Caenorhabditis elegans: one gene and its partner. The protein of the gene in region 1 interacts with the protein of each later gene in a pairwise test. Each region holds a gene or a part of one and is shown on either strand. Other genes may lie near its edges.

Evidence for each region.
Region 2: the proteins of zif-1 (region 1) and pos-1 interact in a two-hybrid assay, tested with the Caenorhabditis elegans proteins (one study listed by BioGRID).

The regions. Positions count from the first base shown.
Region 1 is NC_003281.10:9,001,130-9,007,236, reverse strand, and holds zif-1 (Zinc finger-interacting factor 1), read right to left. Parts: upstream 4,459-6,107; 5' UTR 4,449-4,458; coding exon 4,371-4,448; intron 4,324-4,370; coding exon 4,277-4,323; intron 4,230-4,276; coding exon 3,992-4,229; intron 3,946-3,991; coding exon 3,208-3,945; intron 3,159-3,207; coding exon 3,040-3,158; intron 2,998-3,039; coding exon 2,933-2,997; intron 2,887-2,932; coding exon 2,702-2,886; 3' UTR 2,398-2,701; downstream 1-2,397. Other genes in the region: Ras-related protein rab-6.1, read left to right, coding at 1,288-1,351, 1,400-1,512, 1,560-1,665, 1,716-1,827, 1,875-1,968, 2,033-2,093, 2,141-2,208; F59B2.15 (uncharacterized protein), read left to right, coding at 4,615-4,628, 4,672-4,912, 4,962-5,009, 5,062-5,118; putative 26S proteasome regulatory subunit rpn-6.2, read left to right, coding at 5,264-5,306, 5,739-6,107.
Region 2 is NC_003283.11:8,412,277-8,416,702, forward strand, and holds pos-1 (RNA-binding protein pos-1), read left to right. Parts: upstream 1-1,808; 5' UTR 1,809-1,817; coding exon 1,818-2,216; intron 2,217-2,268; coding exon 2,269-2,664; 3' UTR 2,665-2,978; downstream 2,979-4,426. Other genes in the region: vha-18 (putative V-type proton ATPase subunit H 1), read right to left, coding at 1-79, 123-609, 654-868, 922-1,057, 1,102-1,199; lmd-3 (Oxidation resistance protein 1), read right to left, coding at 3,902-4,017, 4,072-4,181, 4,236-4,426. UniProt on the Caenorhabditis elegans protein: RNA-binding protein that coordinates cell fate specification and differentiation during early embryogenesis.

The DNA of each region.
Region 1 (6,107 bases):
GCCTTTTGGGGTGCCATTTCATGTGGACCACTTCGAACACTTAGGTTCTCGACATGTTAATTTTTCTGTAATTCATTAGTTTATTCGGAAACTTTCATGAACATGTTCAGTGCATCGATTGATATACGTGTACAATCGATGAGTAATCATCATGCATTTTTGATAAGAAACACTTTTTCTTTAGTTTCATATTCCTAACAGAAAAAAATTTGCGTTTTGAAATAAAAGTTTAATCGTGCTGCAACGCCAAATTAAAACGCTCCGCCCACATATTTTGGGTCTCGTTAGGTACTGTAGAAAACCGTAAACTAAACGTTTTCAATTTTTTTTCTTTTTCTATGTTATGCCTAACATGTTAAGAGTTTCTATTTTTATGTCGAAATTAATGAGATATGAGATAAAATTAATATCCGAATGAAAATTATTTTATTAACATTATTTTGGCATAAATATCTTTAAACATGAAAACATAACAAAAAAGACTAAAAATGATTCAAACCGAGTGAAATCTTACGGTTTTGCTACCAATACCTAACGAGACCCAACGTTTGGGGGCGGTACCTTTTAAACTCAGAAATTTAAAGGCGGGGCTTCGTTCCAAAACTGAGAAACGTGAGTAAAAAGTAGAACTTTTTAAGCAAACAAACTATTGACTGTCATGTTTATTTTTTTTTCGAGTTTCCGCTCTAAAAATTGTTAAAATCTTGATATATTTGTTCACGTTCCTGTGTCTCCGAACGAAGCTCATCCCACGAATCGCATCGACTCTAAAATACACTAAGTTTTGAGACCCGAAGAACTCGGGGGATGTCCAATTGGGGGGATTACCAACTCGGGGGATTGGCCCCGCCCACAGAACCGTGGCTTGCAATACGCCCATTTCTGCAACTGCCGCACGGTTTTAAAATCATTTTTTCTTGTTAATCCTCACTCTATTGATAAAAATACAGTTTTAAAACCGTGCGGCAGTTGCAGAAATGGGCGTATTGCAAGCCACGGTTATGTGGGCGGGGCCAATCCCCCGAGTTGGTAATCCCCCCAGTTGGACATCCTCCGAGTTCTTCGGGTCTCCTTCGGGTCTCTAAATTTTACGCAGAAATGCAGAATTCTGCAATTTGACGCCAAGTTTCGTGTTTCTCACCGATTTTTTTTTAATTTTTAATTTTCTTGCTCTTGGAATCTTTAAACAGCCAAATTTGGAAACCTTCATATTATTTTTTAAGAAACGTTTGATGTACCTTGTTCTTGTTTTGTAATTCCTCTTCAAACAAATAATTTCAGTTACAGATGGCTGATTTCACAAATAACGCTCTCAAAAAGTTTAAGCTCGTTTTTCTCGGCGAACAGAGTGGTAAGTGATTCCGAGGGCCGTTTTAGTTTCAAAAAAACTTATATTCAGTGGGAAAAACTTCTATCATCACCAGATTCATGTATGATTCGTTTGACAACACCTATCAAGCCACCATTGGAATTGACTTTCTCAGCAAGACTATGTATCTTGAAGACAGAACCGTAAGATACCATGTAGAAAATTGAAACTAAATTAATTACCTTGTCAGATTCGCCTTCAATTGTGGGATACCGCTGGCCAGGAACGTTTCCGATCTTTGATTCCATCTTACATTCGTGATTCGAGTGTTGCCGTTGTCGTGTATGATATTACTAGTGAGTTCTACTAGAATCTGAGATTTTAAATTATTTTAATAATTTTTCAGATGCCAATTCCTTCCATCAAACAACAAAGTGGGTTGATGATGTTCGCAACGAACGTGGATGTGACGTCATTATCGTGCTCGTCGGAAATAAAACCGATTTGGCTGATAAAAGGTAACGAACATGCACTCTAAAATTATTCCAAACAACAAGAAATTCAGACAAGTTTCGACGGAGGATGGAGAAAAGAAGGCTCGCGATTTGAATGTGATGTTCATTGAAACTTCTGCAAAAGCTGGCTACAACGTCAAACAGGTACTTATTTTTGAAATTCGTCTGAAAATTTTCAGACAATTAAAGTAAAAATAAGCCTTTTCAGCTCTTCCGCAAAATCGCTACGGCACTTCCAGGAATTGTCCAAGAGGAGACGCCTGAGCAGCGTAAGATTCTTATCAAACATTTTAGTGATTTATTTTAATTTTTTCAGCCAACATCGTTATCATGAATCCTCCTAAAGACGCGGAAGAGAGCCAAGGCCGTCAATGTCCGTGTTAAATCCAATCCGCAGCTTTTCATCAACCAAATTTATTATTTATTTTCCAAATATGGGTTTTCAAAAATTAGCAACTGTTTCTCTCAACTCCACGCTTATGTTCCCGTTGTTGCCTTCCTCTTCATCGCTCATCAAAATTTAAATCGAATCTATTGCCTGTTTCAAATGTATCGTGCTCAAGTGTACCGTAAATGAATCGAATAAGTCTGTATTGACAAAATTGAACAGGTGGAAAAATGAAAAGTAATATCATTACAAATAGCAGGAAGCGTCAGAAAATTGCAGGCGGTATTAAATTAGGGGTGAGGGTTTAATAAATCATTAAAATTCTAAATTTGGTGATCAGATCACTCGGGGGAATGTGTTTAAAAAATAAAGGAATTATTAGTTAAAAATAATAATTACGAATTATAGAATATAAATACAAAATAATTATCAGAGGGGGTGGGGGGAGTGTCATGCTAATAAGGGGGTTTACTTAGTTTTTTGAAATTATTATTGTTGAATATTTATCGTGCACAAATTTTCGGCAGTTTCTTTTTCAAGTTCTTCTTGCATTTTAAGGCAGCATTTGATTCTATAGTAACTTGGGTCGATTTCGACAGATTCCTTGAGAACTTGAATACATTTTAGCTTCAATGAAAGTGGCTGGAAGAATGGAAGCTCGCAATAACTCATCCCTGAAAAATTACGATGAAGAAAACGTCTATTTGGTGGAGGGATTACCATAATTTTCCTTGTATCGAAATAGGAATACAGAGCCACTAGGATGGGGAAGAACCACGTCAGTTCTGAAAAAAAAATACTTAGGAAAAAAATAGATTAATTTGTACCCAAGAATGAGAGCATCCACAGCCTTGATTCGCTCGCTGTCCAAGTCAATACAGCAGAATGACGAATTACGTGGCTTATGGCTGCAACAGTAATCACGGGCGTCCAAATCGGCAACACGCTGAAATTAAATTAATAAACTATCAACAAATAATATTTTCATATCCTACGGTTCTCATTTTCTTGCTGAGCCCCATATCAACAGTAAAGTGTGACCATCGTTGTACTACAACCATTTTGCCATGCTGTGCTATGCTCTGATGTTCTTGACGGAGCTCATCGCTGATTTTTCGCCATAGTTCAATGTCACCTCGATTGAATCTTGTCTCTATTGTTTCAGGATTAACTGCATGAATCGCATCTTTTTCGCCCTTTTCGATGACATCTTTCAAATTCACACGAAGTTGAAATACTCCTCTGTGCGGTTTCGTCTCCGGGTTATCAATTTGCGGATCTAGACCATAGTCCCGGTTTTGCTCCTCGATAAATGAATGCGAATCAATCCTAATGAAAAAATTAACGTCATTTCTGTAGACCCATGGCACGTAGTGAGATGATACAAATGGATCGAGAAATACGCGAATACCAGTGAATTGACTGACGATATCGTTCATATCAAATGATACACATTTCGCTTTGAAACACGTTGAAGTTGGAATAAATGGAAGAAGAATCAGAGAATCCACTCCGTTTGAGAATACCAACCACAGGTAGTTATTGTGATCAATGAACGGTTCGCCACGTCGATTTTCGAAAATATGGTACCAATAAGATGCTACGATTGTTTTATTCGTACGGTACTTGCATGAACCAGAGTACACTAATGTCTGTGTTTCGTGAGATACGTAGAAGAATGATTGCTTGAATTTCAATGGAATTTCATCATCCGGTCCTGCTTCATAGTCTTTCTGAAATTTTATTTTTTGGATTAGGTATGGTAGATCGGACACTTACTACAAGGGTTATTGTGCCGATTATATCGTTTCGTGCCCAGTAGAGAAAGCAAACTCGTGGAATTTCGAAAGCACCACGGTCCATGGTGTATAGGGTCCATTTGTTCGTATGTAGATCGAATACAGCCATACGGTCACGTAGTTGTTGGTTAATGACGTCACGACCGCCCGGAAGATCAATTCCATATCTTCCACACGGCGACCACTTCCAGACAAACGATTCTACGTCAGAAAGGCGCCTGAAAAGGTTATAAAATTTAATAGATATATATCTAGAGATCCTCACCTATATTTTTCATCTATGAACTCGTATTCGCTGAATTCGTCGCAAGTCTGAAATTTTTGTTTTGTCGAAACTGAGTGGTTTTCAAGATTTTTACCTGTGGAACCAACTTCCATGGTATCTCATTTACACAGAAAGTAGATAACTGACTGGTACTCGCGGAACACTCACTCATTGTGTCCACTCTGTAATTAGATACATATTTTTGAACAGAAGAGAGTAGAATTAAGATTAAAATAGAAACGTGAAACGTTTTTAAAAATATAAACGATTAAAAAAAGTATAGTTCAGTTTTTAAAAAAATGTATTGCTATCATTTTTGCTGAATTTGAATCATTCAAATGAATATTCTAAGGTGAGAGGAGATTGAAAATAAGCGATAACTAATCGGATTGCAGAATGGAAATCCGTAGTTCCGAAAAAGTGGTTCTTTCCTTGTCAGTCGTTGCGAGCTTGGTTTATTGGGGATGGACATGGTGGAGAAATCAAAATGGAACGGATGTGAAGCAGGTGTCTAACAGACGAAACCCGAACATTTTCCACATGGTTCGTTCGCCAGGCTCGCCGAGAACACGAGACGCCCATAAGAATCGCGGGTGTACTTGTAAAATGATTAGCACTAAAGACGATTGTCAGGAGGTTGGAAACATAAAAACATGAAAAGTGTAAATATTTTCCTATGTTGCAGAGAAAGCAAAAATCCAAGGACAGTGGAGAGAAGGAAGTTGACACAAATGTAAGAAGCAGCCAAAAGCCAAACAATTTTCATTATTTTTTTTTATTTTCAGCAAAATTTGATTCCGTCTTCAATGAGAAACTCTCGTCGAATTATGCTCAATAGATAATTTTCGTGTAAAAATAAACGTTTTATTTATATTGTTTTTTCACGTGACCTCTGAGGTCACGTGCCACGTCATCGAAACGAATCTCGATGAAGAATCAAAATTAATTTATTTTCATTTATTTTTGCGAGCATTAGAAAAAATTGAGATGTCTGCTACTCCAGTCACTCTGAAAGCTGTACAAAGTGAAGGTTTGTTTGTTTCTTATTAACTAGTAAAACGGAGAAGCAAGTGAGCGCGAGAGAATAGGATGAACAATGTCGCTGGCTAGAGATGAACGGGAAAATAGCTGAACGCGGACCGCGGGCGGATTGATTGGCTTTGATAGAGATGAATGTTTTTATGCGGAACAAAACAAGAAAGCTTGCGGCGACGTAGGAATGTGAGATTTAGAGATTTCTCGCGAGGAACATGGAAAATTGGGCAGATTGTCTTTGAATTCCCGCTTGAAAAACATTGCCGCGTCGAGACCCATCCATTAAACGTCCTGCGCCTTTAAGATTACGGTATCACATGTATTTTTATTCTTTGAATCGTTTCTTGATTTTCAATCAAATAAACGCGAATTTTAGCATGTTTTATGTTTTCAGTATTTAAAAAACGGTTGAATTAAATATTTTCAGTATCTGCCCAAACTGCGAAGTCATCGGAGGCAGAAGTAAAGCGATGCGAGGATCTTATCCTGTCTTACTCGAGGCAACTTGCTAAGGAAAAGGATATTACTGGAATCCGAACACTCGTCGAATCCATTCGTAGCTTCTACGATCTTGTTGGAAAAGCTCGAGCAAGTAAATTGATAAGAGATATCGTGGAACATGCGCTTACGATTGATCAAGGAGTCGGGCCTGCGCTTGATCATGGAAAGAAAGAGAAGATCGATCTCTTGACGAACTGCATCGGCTGGGCGACGTCCAACAAGAGGGAATTTCTCCGTCGGAGTCTTCAAGCCCGTCTCATTCGTCTCTACAACGATATCCGTGACTTTACGAACG
Region 2 (4,426 bases), on another chromosome or scaffold:
GTTCATTTTCGTATTCATCGAAAGATGTCAGCACTTGGACAACTTTTTTGAGTTCAGTCTGGAGATATACCATATCTTCCTGCAAACTTATAGTTCGATGAAGTCTTTCACTAATAAATTACCACAAGGTCCACATCAGTAAATTTTCGATTCTCCAGATGATCCAGTTTAGTCGGAATACGATTTTGAATCATTTGAAGAGCAGCTTGCTTTTTCATGTAAACATCCTGATTTGAAGTGATAAGGTTCCGCAGTGTGGATACTACAATTCTGATTACTTTTTCCTTTTGACAATTGCCCAGAATTCCAGATATCGTTTGAATAAGATTCCCAGACAAAGCCACTTCTGCAGCATGTCCGTTGAAAGTGAGAAGCCACATGCAGAAAATTATTTGGTACTGAATTTGAAACCCGCATTTTCGAGTCGAATATAGAGCATGAGTCAGTGAGTCGTAGCCATTGATGTTGACAAATGAAACTCGATATGGATCGAATCTGAATAAAGTTTGCATGCATCTAACTGCTGTAACAATGTAGTCGTTGTTTGTTCCTCTATTCATCGCCTCTTTCAAAGATCCCATGCAATAGTCAAGTTCGTCTCCAGATAATCTGAAATAGTTAGAATTAATTAATGTATCTCAAGCGTATCCAACTTTATATTTCCAAAAACAGCCATTTTTGTGAGAATCGAGAATGTAATATGTACAATGTATTGATCTTGACGATGGAGAAGACCCATGAAAAAAGAAAAGGGAGATCTTTTCAGAAGAACTGCAACGTCTTCAAAAATAATTGTTCTTGTGACGTCTTCGCGGAGCATATCATCGATCAGCGTTAGAGTGTACCTGACGTAATCATCTTTCGAAATCTGAAAAAAAGAAACTAATAATTTCGAAATAGGCTTATGAAATATGATTTCACCTGAGACATCAGATGAACAAAAGCGTACACAGCCTTTTCCTTGAAAACCGAGAGTACTGTGCTCCGTTCTGCCTCGTTTTCTGCTTGTTGATAAGTCACGATAAAGTCGTAATCACTTTGAGCAATCATTCTTGTTCTGAAAAATTACTACGTAATATGGAAGATAGATAGTAAATATACCTCGTGAAAAGTCCCCAATTGGTTTTCATTGCTCGAACTTTGTCGGCTTCTTTTTGAAAATGAGTGCGAATGAGATCCTGATTCTCCCCAAATACCATTTTGAAACTGAATCAAAGAAAATTAACTTTTAAAATGAGGACAAACACAGAACGTGGAAAATGTAGAAATGGAAAATCACGGTGGTACAGCAGCTAGATGAGTGCAAATGCGCTCTACCGAACAAACCCAAATTTGACCGGTTAGGAAATTTTCAATCAAAAAAATTTTCAATAGAAAAGATAGAGAATTTTCTTGCGGCCATTTTTCATATGCATCGCAAATTCAAATTTGGGGTTAGTTTTCGAGATAGCAGCCAATATAGGTTTTCAGACTGAGTATCATAAACCAAGCCATCTAGTTTCTGTGCTACCATGAAATCCAACACGGCGATGCGAACACGCTCTATTGCGAAAATTCAAGTTTTTTTTTTCAAAATTTCTCAAAATTTGATCATGATTTCGAGCGGTATTTTTTAATTTTTACTTTTTAGTTTCCGCGAATTTTTGATAAGTAAATTTTTTCGCTCACTCTTTGTTCATTTCATTCAGATGTTCCATTTCAAGGATTTTTTTCCTTTTTATTTTCTTTTCTGCCGGTGCTCCCAAGTTTTCTTGATTTATATTCTCTTCTTTTTCCATCATCATCACAGTTTGTAAATTTATTTTTCTAGATTCAAAATGGCTGACAACGATTTCCTGAGCGGTGAAGCAATCATGGTGTTCAAAAAGGAAATCCTTGACTCCCACAGCGATTTTACTCGATCGCTTTCACATCAGTCAGCATCCCCCGAAGCATATGATCAAGAGAATGTATTTTCTCAAGACTTCCAACCGTTCATGAAACAAGATAAGGAGACGCAGAATTCGGCTTCACAGCCAACTTCTGAACAATCGTTGGCCAATCGTGATCCTTGCACAGTTCCCGATGACCTTCGTGAAGAAATGATGCGTCAAAGGAGAAAGGAAGATGCATTCAAGACGGCTCTGTGTGATGCTTACAAACGCAGTCAGGCATGCTCATACGGTGATCAGTGCAGATTTGCTCACGGCGTCCATGAGCTTCGGCTTCCAATGAACGTAAGTAATCGTTGATCCTACAAATTTCTTATTTTATGACTGGAATTTTCAGCCTCGTGGGAGAAATCATCCCAAGTACAAGACGGTTCTTTGCGACAAGTTCTCGATGACTGGAAACTGCAAATACGGAACCAGATGCCAGTTCATCCACAAAATTGTCGATGGGAATGCCGCGAAGCTAGCAAGTGGAGCTCACGCTAATACTTCATCCAAATCACCAGCAAGGAATGCTGCCGCACACAATCATTCACTCTTCGTGCCTCAGGGGTCGACAGATCGAAGCATGGATCTCAATCAGAGTCTACCAATCCGTCAATCAGATCTCGTTCGTGCGTTTGCTCGTGCCACCCGTTTGGACGTATCTGGATACAATTCTACGGCTCAATTGGCACAATATTTCGAAAGCCAATTCCAGCGGATTCAGCAGCTCTCCTCCCATCATCACTAGTTTCTCTCGTCGAAATTTCTGATCTTGACTAACATGTACTTTCTATTTTTTACTTATGGATTATATAATCAAGTCCAATAACCTGGTGCAGTCCCAAGGACATCATCAATAATTTTCCCCATTTTTGTCGTTCTTTTTCTTCTCGAGTCCGACCCCAAAATGTTGTATTCACAGGCTTTCAAAACTCACCCCCACATTCCCACATTTGTATCTAGTCTGTATATTATTGTTATCTTGAATTTTACCAATGTTTCGTTCTCAATTGCATAGCCCTCGTTATGTGGACTCATAAAATGAAATTTCTCGTAATCAGCATACAATTGTTTCAAGTTTTACGGTGCCTCTGCGGTATTAAAAAGTTCATAGAACCAGCTTACGGTACCATCATTTCTCAAGATTCTCGAGCTTTTTTAAAGACGCACGGATTTATTCAGATGGGTCTCGGCGCAAGAAAAGTTTATGGTAGTTTTTATTTTTGAGGCTCTCATTTCTCAATGAATATACCCTTCATTTTTCTGTGAAAATTTTCTTAAAATGAAATAAACTAATTGAGAAATGCAAGAAAAAAAACGAAGAGGCAGCCTCAAGTATTCAAAAAAGACTTCCATAAACTTTTGCGCACCGAGACCCATTTGAATAAATTCGTGTGCCTTTAAGAAGGCGTGCAAAAATCTTGTGAAAAAACAATAAAAATTAATGTTTCCAATATTTAAAGCGCTCATTTTTATATTTGAAAACAACTGAATATTTCGTTTAAGGTTTATTACTTTATACTTTCCATCTCACAAAAATTGAGATGAGTACTGTAACTGACTGACGTGTTTGTGTTGTGTGTGAGGAAAATCAACTAGTTTCACAATACCAGTAGACTCAAATGAAACAATTGAAAATTGGGGGACAAAAATATCACTGCGGGAGCATGTGTCAAATCGGGGTGGGGGAAATATGAGAAGACTATGCCTAACACAAATTATCATGAGGGTGTGTGTGTGTTTAAAGGAATAAATATACGGGGAATGAATATACACATAAAATCGGTGTGGAGGGGCAACAAGAATTAGTTCTTTGTGTCGGGGGAAGGAAACAAATGCGTTTTACAATTTGATGGAGCATGGATGGGAAAGATGGGCACCAAGAAAATGGTGGTATGTTTGTGTCATGATAAAAAACAACTTAAAGGGAATATATTGACTTTTGGGGCCTTTTTGTATTGAATCTATTCAACAATATACACACATTACATTCTGAATCCATAAGCCTCAATGAATTGAATAATGAAATCCTGATCATCTCCACATAATGGTTCATTGTCAAACGTTTCACATTTTTGCGAGCTTCCATGATTGAGGTCAGCTGAAAAAATAATGATAAAGATCATGCCGACAATTTTCGTAAAAATAAACTTACCATCAAGCCATAATCCATTTCTTCCAGAACCAGCTCCAATGGATAAGGAATCCTTGGCGGCGTTTACAAAGTACTGATTATCACCCGTCCAGTTGTATTGGCGAAGTTCGCTGAAAACATTTTTAAAAAATTAGTATATAAAGTTCTATGAGAAATTAAATTACCGAGTGTGAGGCACTTCTCCTGTGAATCTCCACAATAAACAACTGTCACCAGTTCCAAAGAAATGATCATTTGGTCTGATGGCTGACGAGACGACAGCTCCGAAGACGTGTTCCTTGGTGTCTCTGATGATGAGCAAAACTGGTGATAGGTCCTCATCGAATTCTGCCATCTTTCTGTACATTGTGGCAAG